2 linked regions of the Drosophila melanogaster genome follow. Changing the gene in region 2 together with the main gene of any one other region gives a genetic interaction. Each region holds a gene or a part of one and is shown on either strand. Other genes may lie near its edges.

Region 1 (6,416 bases), about 18 Mb from region 2:
ATAAAAATATATTAAAGATTCTATACCCTAATTAATCATAAATTTGCGACTCAAAATATACAAGAATAATTTAACTTTAAAAATAATAAAAGACGCATAGCCCAAAGTTAAATTAATTACCTAGGACCATATACAGATTGAGTAATAACAATAGTTTTGACACACGCCTCATTGACATTTGATATCATATAAACCACTTTTGGACATCTATCATCTAATTAAAGCGTACCTGCTTTCGTTACAAGCCCCCAAAAAATAGCAAGACTTTTTTTAAATATCTGCATTATATCTCCTTGCCTTCGAAAGAATACGATTTAGAAATGGGAAACATTCAAAGAAATGCCGTAGAAGTCCCTGGTAAATCGAAAGCAGCTGTAATAGTTAGCAGCTTAGCCACTTATCGCAGTTAAATTAAGCATTCTTGCATTTCGATAACGTTTTGAAGATAGAGTAACTTAACAACCAATGCCAATGGTTCTGTCAAACAATTATTACTCATAGGTCAAAGTTCTACACGGACACGCACTAAACACCGCAGCGATGCAAGTGCGAGTCGAATGATTGAATGAGTAGCGAATACCAGTATTGTACCAGTTAAATTGAAATATATTGTATTGCATTGTAATATGTTGTATTGTATTTACTGTTGAATTATATTTTAATATAGAACAAGTTCATTTAGAATAAAGCGTTTAAAAATGCATTATGAAAAAATCAATACATTCCGCGTCTTATTTTAGTTTCTGGGGTGTTAGTCGATTCGCCCACGCACACTCAAGTGTAATAAAGGCCAACGTTCCTCACATTCACCATCCTCATCTCGCCATGCCATGGCATATCATTCTGCCAACATTTTGCTCAGTAGGAGGCGTACATTGGAATTTGTTAAAACTCGTTCTTAGCAATCCAAGCTGCTGTCGCTGTGCAGTTGTGTGGTCTGCATTGTTGTGACATTACATTCCTAAGTGTTTGGGAATTCAAAGACTTTTCCGACTTTTTCCTGATGACTTTCCTTCCACCCATTTAGCCATTCTCTGCTCACTTTGACTTGGCTTTGTGAGCCCTTATGTATGGATGTAATTTTTTCAATCGCCGAAAACACCCCTTATCATATAACATATAAACCACGAGTTAAGAAATCAAGGGACGATCACTCCTAACATACAAAAGTTCTGTTTTCAGCTTTTGGGTAGAAAAATATTTGTGAACTTGACTAAACGCACTCTAATATTTACTTATTAAGTAAACTAAATGCACATTCTTAATTAGCGAACTCGAGATAAAGAATATATCTCGCAAATTGTAACATCATTTTTACATCTGTTAGTGGTTTAAAAATAAGGCGTCGCTTAATGCGAATTCCTATGAACAAATTGTATACCCACCAGTCCCATTTCACGTTCACCTTTTGCTACTGAACCATTCTATTTTCTTATATCTTGGTTTTGTATCCCTTTAGTTTTAAGTCTAGTTGCAGACCAAAGAAATTTTTCATTTCTTTTTATATATATTGTGTGTGTCTTTGCACACTCTCCTGTTACGCTTCGTCACTATGTGGATTGTGATATGAGATAGAGCGCAATAAGCGGGCGGGAGATGATTGTGGATGATGGCATTTCAAACTTTGTTGGTTTGGTTCGTGTTCGATAGGGGGGGGGAGTACTTTCAATTCTATTCTTAATTACAAAAGTTTATTGGTATTTCGGTACAACTTATATTAAATCCGTTGTCTTCTTTAAATACTTTCATTGTCATTCAGGATTATTTAAGATTCGTGCAAAACCAGTAGAGTGACAGACATCATCTTATAAATATTGTAGGAGCGGCCTTTAATTATACAAAGGAAAGACCCCACGTGTCACCGCTAGAACACTTTGCAGTTAGCGAAGTGTGAACAGCGGCGTTTATTAGCCCAAAACCACAACGTCAGGAACGGCAATTCTCTTGCTACCCCGCAGATTCCAATTTAATTTAATACGAGTAGTCAGAAGTTCAGCTCAAAGATAAGCCGGAGGTAACCCCTAATGAAATGCATTGTCAAATGAAATGGTAAAATTGACGACGTCCACTCTTTCTTGAAGTGGGCAACGGCATTAAATCAGCAAACTAATGGCCACTAAGCAAACGATAGGGCGAGAGGCATCTGTTCTGAAGGAAGATGGTAACTGCCAACTGAGGGACTGTTCGCCTAAGTGCTTTTCGTTCGCATCTTGGCCACTCGGCCTTAACTTAAAAGCGCTTGAAACAAATTGAAATCATTTCTTTCTTACTTTTGGCGAAGGCTACATTTACAGCTTATAGCCAATCATCATAATGCCGCGTCTGTTTAAAGTTTTCTGTACATTGCAATTGCAAATTACTACGCTGTCGGAAACGGAAACAGTCTAGATAAAACAATGTCACAATTTTAAAATAATGTCTTATTTTACCAAAACTCGTAAAATGTAAGGATGTAACCCTCACAAATATTCGCTTTCTTCACCAAGATCACTAGCCCTGTCGATATTACCATACCCAACCAAAAGACATAAGAAGTAGAATTATTCGACATAATGCCTTTGCTCTACTCAACGCTTTGTAACCGCCTCACGACAATTTAAAAGCACTTAAAACAATTTCATATATCATTACAAATTGAAGTGGTATGCTTGTATATTTATGAATTTAAATGATTAGAAAAGATTAGAAAATCATGGAAATTAAATTGAATAACAAAGTGACTCCTTGGACGTCCACTTCTGAAACTATATTGGCTTATGGAGTACATAACCTCAGTTCTTTTTATACCAGTTACGCGTAGAGTAAAAGGGTATAATAAATTCTTTGAAAAGTACAAACTACATGTACGCATGGAAGCGTTTCCGACTATATAAAGTATATATATTCTTAATCAGGATCAATAGCCGAGTCGATCAAGCCATGTCCGTCTGTCACAGGCGCAGCGCAAGTTTGTTGTCCCATGTTGCCACACTTTTGAAAAATGTGTTATTTTCCTTGCCACGCCCACTGCAAGTACCTTAAACCGCACATAACTGCCACGCCCACAATTTTGAAAAATTGTTCGATATTTTTTCATAATTTTATTAGTCTTGTAAATTTTCTATTTATTTGGCAAAAAACTTTTTGCCACGCCCTAAAGCAGCTAAAGCCGGTCACGCCCTACTTTTGAACAATTATTAATTTTTTTTTTCTCATTTTATTCCCCAATACCTATTGATATCCCAGAAAAATTATGAAATTTCGCGTTCGCATTCACACTAGCTGAGTAACGGGTATCGGATAGTCGGGGAACTCGCATTCTCTCTTGTTATTTTTCTAACAATACTTAAAAAACTTAAGGTTACTGTATTTCTCTGGAATCTTAACGATAAAATAAGTATAATAGTATAGTAGTACAATCGTTTTAAATACCTATTAATGAAGTTTAGAGAATATATACGAAGTTAGAAAAATTGATTATGGAAACTACTTTAGGATATTTTCCTAAGTTTCTCCTAATTATTTTCAAAGATTTTATGTATCTGGCTACAAAAAAAGATTGGTAATGTTTAATTTTGATATTTTTCAAAATATTCGATTATTATGTTTTACAGAAATTGTTTTTACAGAGGGTTTGCAAATGTTTGAATGTGAAAATTCACTCTCTGTTAATAAAGTGGGTTTGCCAGATTTTTTAATGGATTGGCCCGTATGGACTTACAGATATCGTCCGACCCAAGATATTTCAGCCCTAGGAGAAGAGGGTAAGTATCATCTGCATTCTGTTGGCGTGGGAAGTTCCCTGATGAGCAACGCATAAAGAGCGGACCCAACATTGAGAGCGGGCTTTTTCGCCAGTATGGGTGTGCCCAAAACCAGACCCTGAGATAAACCCAGACTTGCACTCTCTTAATGCTGGTGTGCTTCCTCAGGTTGAACCATTCTCTGTGAGAGAACCGCTGATAAGCTGTAACTTAGAGCTCGATCGCATTCCAGTTTATAGCCACATTCAGTGTGTTCTCGGCAGGCGCTCTGTCAGCGTATCGTTCTTCCAAGTACAGTGCTATAGTACAGTCGAAGATATAACCATGGAACCGCACTTTTTTTTCACCGTACTGTGGATGCTATTGATGGGAACAAGCAGCACTTACGCACAAGGCAAGTGGTTTTGGCTCTCAGTCGTAGTCGGGGGTTGCTGGCATCAAAACACAAAGCAACCTCCTATCAGCGGTGAACTTCACCCCGAGTCGGGCTGAGTCGATGATAGTCACAGTGGGCTGGTCCCAGAACGCAGAAATCCCGTTCCCGCTGTTAATCACGACTATCTTTGAACCGGGCTTTACGATTTACGTTTTTTTTTTTCAGAAATCTTTGGGTATTGTAGAACGCCTGATGAGAACAGCGGCACCTGCATAAACCTCCGGGAATGTGGATACCTATTCGAACTGCTTCAAAGCGAAGAGGTTACGGAACAGGACCGTCGATTTCTGCAAGCCAGCCAATGTGGCTACCGGAATGGACAAGTGCTTGTTAGTACCCCCTTAAAAAGTTGTGGTGCTAAAATCGATTAAGATCATTTTCATCCATTGAACATATATATAAATTAATTCTTTTACTTATGGCTATCGCATCGAATCGCTTTTCGATGCGACGCCACCATGCATTCTTATTATCAACTTTTATCAATTTAGGAAAAACATTTTTGTTTTACCAATGTTCAGATTTGCTGTGCAAACAGCCGAATGCGAAACCAGCAACCTCAGTGGGGAAATCATCCTCAACCTACTCAGACCACTAAGCCTACAAAACGCTCTGGGACCAAACTGTTACCAATGGCGCCCAATTGCGGTGAAAACTTTGGAGACCGAGTGGTGGGTGGTAACGAGACGACAAAGAGGGAGTTTCCTTGGATGGCCCTAATAGAGTACACGAAGCGTGAGTAACCAAAATATTCCCTGCTGCAGGGACTAATCCCCCCCCCCCCCCATTTTACCAGCCGGTAACGTGAAAGGTCACCACTGCGGCGGATCTCTAATCAACCATCGTTACGTTCTGACGGCGGCACACTGCGTCTCGGCTATTCCCAGTGATTGGGAGCTGACGGGAGTACGCCTGGGTGAGTGGGATGCGAGCACCAATCCGGATTGCACAGTCGGTAAAAACGGACGACGGGACTGCAACGAACCGTACGTAGACTACCCTGTTGAGGAGCGTATTCCGCACCCGCAGTACCCGGGAAACTCACGGGACCAGCTAAATGACATTGCGTTGCTGCGATTGCGGGACGAGGTTCAGTACAGCGACTTCATATTACCAGTATGTCTGCCCACTTTAGCGTCCCAGCACAACAATATATTCCTTGGCCGAAAGGTGGTGGTGGCAGGGTGGGGTCGCACGGAGACAAATTTTACGTCCAATATCAAGCTGAAGGCTGAGTTGGATACGGTACCGACGTCCGAATGCAACCAAAGATACGCCACCCAAAGAAGGACTGTCACCACCAAACAGATGTGCGCCGGCGGAGTTGAGGGGGTTGATTCCTGTCGCGGGGACTCGGGTGGCCCCCTTCTGCTCGAGGACTACTCCAATGGAAACTCAAACTACTACATTGCTGGTGTGGTCTCCTACGGACCCACGCCCTGTGGCCTAAAAGGATGGCCCGGCGTGTACACAAGGGTTGAAGCGTATCTGAACTGGATAGAAAACAACGTTAGGGCTTAATCTTAAATGACGAAAATTAACATTCTTAGGGATTGATCGTAAATCGTGCAGATTACCATTGTAAAATGGGACATGCCACAGTAAATATCGATTTTTAATGAAAGGTAGATTTTACAATAAATTAAGTTATCTCGTGTAGATTCAACGGTAAAACGCGCAGAGTTCAACACTTCTTGATCTGGTGTACTGTACACTTATAATATAAAAACTCAATTCAAGTTTCTGGAGATTATTTTGGTTTCTACAATCAAATGACGGCGTGGGGGTTGCCGTTTATGATTTTGATAAGGTCTGCCAGTCAAAATCACTTGCCTTTAATTTCAAATCTAAATAAAATACCCATAGCAGTTGTTTTAAGATCGCAGCGAGGCCAGGCGGCTTTGCATCTCTTGCAGTTCCTCACCCTCCTCATCGTCCTGCTCAGCCTCGACGCGCGCAGCAGACGCAGACGCCTTGTCCGCCGGTGTAGCCTCTGGAGGCAGGGGAGCTTCCCCGAGCTTGCCATCTGTGATCTCCCACAAAACCTTGTCCACCTCCTTGCTTGCCTCCTCCTCCAGCTCCTCGGACTCCTCCAGCGAGTCCATGGTCTCGTCTAGCATCTCCTCAATAATGCCGGCCTTCATCATTTCCTTTGACATGTCGCGCATGATGCCTGCAAGCTCTGGATAGCGCACCAGGCTCTGCATAGCTTGCAAGACCTCTGTAGACTTTTGCAG
Region 2 (7,356 bases):
ACCTACTGTCGTACAAAAGGAGCAGGGGCAGGAGTACCGACAACCATCGCTGCTCAATGGACCAATCATAGATTGGATACTTGCGCAAGGTGTGGGCATACCAGCACTGAAAGCAGAAAGATAGTATTATTTCATATGTCTAGAGCCACATAACTTGGCTTATTAGCTGACAAAAACTTACTATGACAATGAAGGTGAACAGCAGAAAGATGCACCTAAACCAGATTTCAATCTGCGTGAAGTCCGGACTGTAAGTCTTGAACTGAAGTGGAAAGTTAGTGACCATCACTACAATGGGAATGCCATGCCACTCACGTAAAATGTTATGCTGCGTATATTATACTTCTGATGGAATGACTCCAAGCCGTAAAAGCGCACAGTGATAATATAGTGGGCATAGTCGAGGAATCCCAGATGCATCACCGTGAACTCCTCGCAGTCGTTCCGTACGCAGACCAAGTGCCGCGTCCGGTTGTGAGCCACTCCGGATCCGAGGACACTTTGGGGCTTGTGCTGCTCGTTTATGCCATCGATTGAGACGCTCACTTGGAAACTCTTGTCGTACCGCTCGTCTGAATGATTGTCATACATATATGTAAATGTAAGAAAAGTAAAATAGTCGCAATCACAAGACCCACCATCATTGTTGTCCGTCACCAGCTTGGCTATCAGCCACATTTGCTGCGAATATGTGGTGGTCAGCGGCGACTTCATGGCGAAGGGTCCCTTCCCCAGGACCGTTGGGCTATGCGCCAGCGAGGTGTTCGCCAGAATCTGCTGGGCGGTCAGCGATGATGTGCTGGTTATGGGCGGTCCCGTCAGCCCGATGACTATGCCCAGACCGAAGCAGGTGAAGAATCCCAGGAAGACCATGACAAACTCGCGCTTGTGCATCGAGTAGAGTCGCATATGGACGGATCGCTCGCAGCGATCGTGATGATAGGCGGGCGAGATGTACCTGCTGAAGTCGCTGAACAAATCGCTGAACTGTGAGAGGGAAGATTTGAGGCGCAGCAGGAGGCCGCCGGACGGCAGCTGGTAGGCGTAGCCCAGGCCAGAGGCATCCGCATCCGAGTGGGGCTTGGCCATGGCCGCTGGCAGGAATTACGGGTGTCTAGCTGATGCTCGGTGTCCACCTAGCCGTCGCCTTTTACTGCATCTCCTCTACGCCGTAGAACTCTTTTTTTTTCGCGTTTTTTTTACAGATTATTGACAAGTCTTCCACAATCCGTCCGACGTTTGTGCGACTTTCGTGGAAAATATCGATTTTGGCCAGCACTACTCGCATATGTTTTGACTTGCCAGTGGGGGTGGCTGGGCCATTGGGTGGTGGGCCGACCATCCGTCGAGTTGTTTGCCATTTCACATGCACTGCGCATGCGTACTCTTATCACAACTGAAGGTAAATAAAAGCCAATCTCGCAAAGGGGGGAGGGAATATCAAGCAACCGGATGGATAAATAACTTAGGAATTGGGCTTGATACACATGAATTAAATGAGCTCAATTGGAACATAATGGGTAAGCAATATAATCAATCAATTTACACATCAGTTTGGCTTACATCTATCTATGTTATTTTGTGCGGACCATTAGTCCCAGTATTTTATCTGGCCATCCCAGCCAGCGGTGACCACTTTGCTGGCCTCATGCGGATGCCAGAGGGCACTGATGCAGACGCCGTCGTGCGCCTGCCACTTCTTGTACATCTTCGTCGTCTTCCAGTCCCAAATATAACATTTGCCATCGCCATCGCCCGACACCAGATAGCTCATGTCCGGCGAAAAGTCCAGCTGGCAGGCGTAGCCAGAGACCATGTGACCGGTGAAGGTCTTTTTGCGGTTCATCTTGAAGCGATTGAGGGCGGAGAAGATGACGATCTTGTTGTCTAACGACTGGCAGGCCATCCATTTGCCATTGGGCGCCAATGTGACCGCCGGCATGGAATGCATAGTGGGGTCGGCAATGTACTTCATGTCCACAGGAATGTCCCACTCCCATATGCGCATCGATTTGTCGTCCGAGGTGGTCACAAACCGTCGGTTGTCGTCCACAAAGGTGATGGTGCTCACAGATCCCAAGTGCCGGTCGTATTCCTGTACAATATCACCGCTGCGAGTGTCCCACTGCGAATTGATAGGAAAACAATTGTAACATGAGCATCTACTTTTGTAAATTTTACTTACACAAATGATCTTCTTGTCGGAGGTGCCGGCAACGAACAAATGTTGCTTGCTATTATCCGGATGGAATTTCACACAGAAAGGCATTTTACGCGTTGTGAATCGGGACACTACATCGCCCGTTTCGGCATCCCACAACTTTATGTAGCGATCATACGAGGCAGACAGGAAGTTGGTACCCCTGTTGTTCCACGCAATATCCTTGATGGCCTGCCGGTGACCGGAGAAGGTGCGTATGCAGCGTCGCTCGCCGTAAACCTCCCACAGTTTGACGCGACAGTCCATCGATCCGGAGAGCAGAAGATGAGCGGTCTTGGGGAACCAGCGGATGGAGGAGATGCCCTTGTTGTGGCCCGACCAGGTGTGTATGTGCGCCTTGGGCAGAAAGCATTTGGTCGGTGGTGCATTCGATCGTAGATTCACGCCCAGATCATGAGGAGCATGCAAATAAGAGCGGCCCTGATAGTCGTACGCATCCTTGACTGTGGAGCAAAAAAGGAAAAGATTATTAACGATATATATTCGGTGGCTATTGGATTAAACTCACTGTGCAGCGTCGACTTCTCCTCGAGCGGCTTATCCTCGGGAATGCGTCCGCGCTTATGTCGCTTAGACAGCAGCTCGTCCAGTTCGGCGCGCTCCTGTTCATTTGGCTTTGCCACCGACACCTCGTTTTCGAACTTGCCCCAGGGACCCAGAAAGCCCTCAATGTCCTCGGGATTATCATTTTTCTCCTGCTTGCGCAGTTTCTTTGCCTTGGGCGGCTCAAATACCGTCTTGCCATTGTCATCGTACGCAGACTGCAGGTCACCCACAAAAGACTGGCCGTCCGCCTGATCGTCTACGCTGGGGTCCAATGCGTAGCCGTAGGTGTGAAAGGTGCGTCGCTGGTTCTCAAATTCGAAGGCATTGATGTGGGCCTTCTCTACGTAGCCGGCTAGGGTGTTCCGCGGAGCGCGCTGCTGCATGGTGAGGTCCGGATGCTCCGGACCTTTTACCGGAGCATACATCTCCTCATAGCGCGGATTGTAGGTTACCTCCTTGAGCGTGGGATCCAGAGTTCGGGGCACGGCCGATGCTCCAAGGGGAACCACCGTTGGCGCCGCACAAACAGCAATGGACTTGGATAGCGAGTGTGTCTTGTCCACGGGCAGCAGGTGATCCGGAATGGGAGCGGAGGGCTCTGAATTCGTGGTGGCTGTGGCGGCGTCCGCATGGTCCGATTCTTCATCCGAGGAACTGGCGTATGACTGAAGGCCCAACATTTAGAGGCTGCGGACGAACTCTGTGTACTTGTTAACGAAATGCTGAAGGTAAATCAAGACCAGAGTGTAGAGGAGGAATACGAAAACGTTAATGGATATTTCCATTCGTCTACACGTTTGCGTTTATCATTAGTTGCTTCAGTAAAAGTAACAAAAACATAAATATATATCTATCAAAACTAGGGATGGTGCGTGCCATCTGTTATCGATGTTATCGAATGGCTATGTAACGGTCTCACTAATAGATCCCAAACATGCAAGGTGGTGCAAGTTTAAAGCTTATTTTAAATTTTTTAAGTTGTATGGAAATAGTATTTGATATTTTTTTGCTCATTTTGCTCAAACACCTATTCAGTGCTGATCGATAACAGGTAAGGAAATGTTTGGCCATACGGTCATACTACATCAGGGAGTGAAGTTGCGTTGATACATTTTGGGAACTTAAGACCGCTGAAAATACCGTCTCTGTAAATTAGTCACAATGACTGCAGGCAGGCACTGGAGCTACGACAGCCTCAAACAAATCGCCATTGATGGATGCACCGAGAACGTGGAGCAGTTGAAACTAATTTTTGTCGAAGAGATTGGTTCGCGACGCAGATCGGATTGCATACGAACCATCGAGGATTTAATTGACTGCCTGGAACGAGCGGACGAACTATCGGAGTACAATGTGGAGCCACTGCGCCGGATATCAGGCAATATGCCACAGCTCATCGAGGCTCTGAGCGCCTACACAAAGCCGGAAAACATTCTTGGACATCCGGTTAATCTGTACCAGGAACTCCGATTGGCCGAGGAACTTCGTCAGCAGCTCCGTATTGCTCCAGCTTCCCAGAATGCTCAGCCATCAGTTTCGGAATTAGCTGCCGCTGTGCCTCCAACAGCAATCCAAAACTATGCCACCCCAGCTGCTTTTACGGATCACAAACGAACGATGGTCTTTAAGAAAATATCCGAGGAACTGGGTCGCTATTGGCGACGACTGGGCCGATCGGCGGGCATTGGCGAGGGCCAAATGGACACAATCGAGGAGCGCTACCCGCACGACTTGAAGTCCCAGATTCTGCGACTGCTGCAGCTCATCGAAGAGGATGATTGCCACGATCCCAAGCACTTTCTGCTTCGTCTGTGTCGCGCCCTGGGCGATTGTGGTCGCAATGATCTGCGCAAGAGGGTGGAGCAGATAATGTCGCACTAGAACGCATTCACTTATATGCACTTTATATGCATTTTGTTACGATACTAGTAATTAATGTGCTGGAGAGCGACAAAGATGTGCCTTTATTGTAATTATTCACATGTTATTCCAAGGTTGGACAGAGCATAAAAATCGCACACTAAATTAATATGTGTCAACGCGGAATTGTACGATCTTATAAGAAAATGTGATTGACGTATTCCATTCAAAATGGGAATTCACATTTCCTTATCATAAGATAGTCTACAAAAAATATTGTTAACTCGTAATACACAAGTCACATAGTTGAAGATAGCAATGTACAATGGATATAAAATACGTTTTGCAAACGCTTTTGCTTCTCTTATCCTCAAAAGACGGTTGAAAATTTGTTTACAAATAGGGTCACACCTTTTGCATTGAACTATCGAATTGGCAATTATCGATAGGCACAGCTGGCTGAATATCGTTTGCTTCGGGGTGAATGGTTAGCAACACGTGCGCGCAATATTTTATTTGAGAATTCTGTTTTTAACCATTAAACTCTATTAAAAAGCATACATAGTTAGCAATATGTCTATTCGGGAGAAGCTGCTGATGAAGAAGATCGTTAAGCGGGAGAAGATGAAGAAGGAGCTCTCGCAGAAGAAGGGAAACAAGAACGCCCAAAAGCAGGAGCCACCCAAACAAAATGGCAATAAACCCAGTAAAAAACCGGAGAAACTCAGTAAAAAGCATGTGGCCAAGGATGAGGGTACGATTAAAAACGTGTGTGCCTAATAAATATATGTAAGATTCACTTTTCGACCCGCAGATGACGACTTAGAGGAGGATTTCCAGGAGGCGCCGCTGCCCAAGAAGAAGCAACAAAAACAGCCTCCAAAAAAGCAACAAATTCAGGTGGCCAACTCGGATTCGGAATCAGATGACGATGAGCAGGAGGATGAGGCAGATGAGGATAGCGATTTGGACGAAGTAGCCGAAGTTGATGAGGAGGATGTTGACAGCGGGAGTGAAGATGATGACCAGCAGGAAGGTAAGTAAAAGTGTCGATATTTAGGGAATTCGTTCTAACTACCAATAATAATGATGATTTTTAAAGGCGAATTTGAGCAGCTCTGGTGCAGCGAGTTAATGTTGCCCAGGGCAGGCATGAAATCCATTTAAAAACCAACTGAATTATATAAAATACTAAAAAACTGTATCCCTGTGAAAACCAAAATTAACCAAGAGTACCTGTTTCAGATGAAGATGAAGAAGAACCTGTGCCAGCCAAGAAAACGAAGTTGCTTCCCAACAAGTCCAAGGCACAGAATGGCAAACCAGCTAAAGACGACGAGCCCTTTACCGTGGAATCCTCACTGGCTGCACTGGATTACCGAGATTCGGATGATCGCAGCTTTGCCTCTTTAAAGGGCGCCGTGTCCGAGGCCACATTGCGAGCCATTAAGGAGATGGGTTTTACCGAGATGACTGAAATTCAGTCGAAATCGCTGACACCCCTACTAAAGGGACGGGATCTGGTGGGTGCTGCCCAGACGGGTTCCGGCAAAACCCTGGCCTTCCTGATACCCGCCGTCGAGCTGATAAACAAGCTGAGGTTTATGCCACGCAATGGTACCGGCGTGATCATCATCTCACCTACCCGAGAGTTGTCCATGCAAACTTTCGGTGTGCTCAAAGAGCTGATGGCACACCACCATCACACTTATGGCTTGGTAATGGGCGGCTCCAATCGGCAGGTGGAGAGCGAGAAGTTGGGCAAGGGCATCAACATTCTGGTGGCCACACCGGGTCGTCTGCTGGATCATTTACAAAACTCGCCCGACTTTCTGTACAAGAACCTTCAGTGCCTGATTATCGATGAAGTGGATCGAATTCTGGAGATCGGTTTTGAGGAGGAGCTTAAGCAAATAATAAATCTGCTGCCAAGTGAGTTACGGGTAACTAAAGGTTTTTAGTGTATTTTTAAACTAACCTAATCTTTTAGAACGCCGCCAGACGATGCTCTTCTCGGCCACACAGACGGCTCGCATCGAAGCGCTTTCCAAGCTGGCCCTTAAGTCGGAACCAATTTATGTAGGGGTTCACGACAACCAGGACACGGCGACCGTAGATGGACTCGAGCAGGGGTACATTGTTTGCCCCTCGGAGAAGCGACTGCTCGTGCTCTTCACGTTCCTCAAAAAGAATCGTAAGAAGAAGGTGATGGTGTTCTTCTCGTCCTGCATGTCCGTCAAATACCACCACGAGCTCTTCAACTACATTGATCTGCCAGTGACCTCCATCCACGGTAAACAAAAGCAAACGAAACGAACGACCACCTTCTTCCAGTTCTGCAACGCGGAATCTGGGATTCTCTTATGTACGGATGTGGCTGCTCGTGGATTGGACATTCCGCAAGTCGATTGGATTGTGCAGTACGATCCTCCAGATGATCCACGCGAGTATATTCACAGGGTGGGCCGAACGGCCAGAGGATCGGGCACCTCGGGTCACGCCCTCCTTCTGATGCGACCGGAGGAGCTGGGCTTCCTGCGCTACCTTAAGGCCGCCAAGGTGCCGCTCAATGAGTTCGAGTTCTCCTGGCAGAAGATAGCTGATATTCAACTGCAGGTGGGTGCTCTTTCTTTGAGTTAAAATTGTTAGCTATGGTTTAAGGTGATTTAATTCGTATGTTTCTTATCCACTGCAGCTGGAGAAACTGATCGCCAAGAACTATTTCCTAA

The links. Genes that interact genetically often act in the same process or in processes that back each other up.
Region 1: of Fadd (region 2) and MP1, changing one enhances a phenotype caused by changing the other (phenotypic enhancement), as found in Drosophila melanogaster (one study listed by BioGRID).

Annotation. Positions count from the first base shown.
Region 1 is NT_033777.3:4,303,920-4,310,335, forward strand, and holds MP1 (melanization protease 1), read left to right. Parts: upstream 1-3,988; 5' UTR 3,989-4,067; coding exon 4,068-4,137; exon of another isoform or gene 4,138-4,344; coding exon 4,345-4,508; coding exon of another isoform or gene 4,509-4,535; exon of another isoform or gene 4,536-4,670; coding exon 4,671-4,914; exon of another isoform or gene 4,915-4,975; coding exon 4,976-5,700; 3' UTR 5,701-5,916; downstream 5,917-6,416. Other genes in the region: Vps24 (vacuolar protein sorting 24), read right to left, coding at 6,054-6,416. UniProt on the Drosophila melanogaster protein: Serine protease which plays an essential role in the melanization immune response by acting downstream of sp7 to activate prophenoloxidase (PPO1).
Region 2 is NT_033777.3:22,030,635-22,037,990, forward strand, and holds Fadd (Fas-associated death domain), read left to right. Parts: upstream 1-3,820; 5' UTR 3,821-3,928; coding exon 3,929-4,648; 3' UTR 4,649-4,983; downstream 4,984-7,356. Other genes in the region: CG13409 (uncharacterized protein), read right to left, coding at 7-106, 182-262, 316-572, 639-1,089; CG6015 (uncharacterized protein), read right to left, coding at 1,592-2,125, 2,186-2,664, 2,730-3,447; CG45099 (uncharacterized protein), read right to left, coding at 3,448-3,552; pit (pitchoune), read left to right, coding at 5,201-5,381, 5,442-5,663, 5,873-6,559, 6,618-7,243, 7,323-7,356.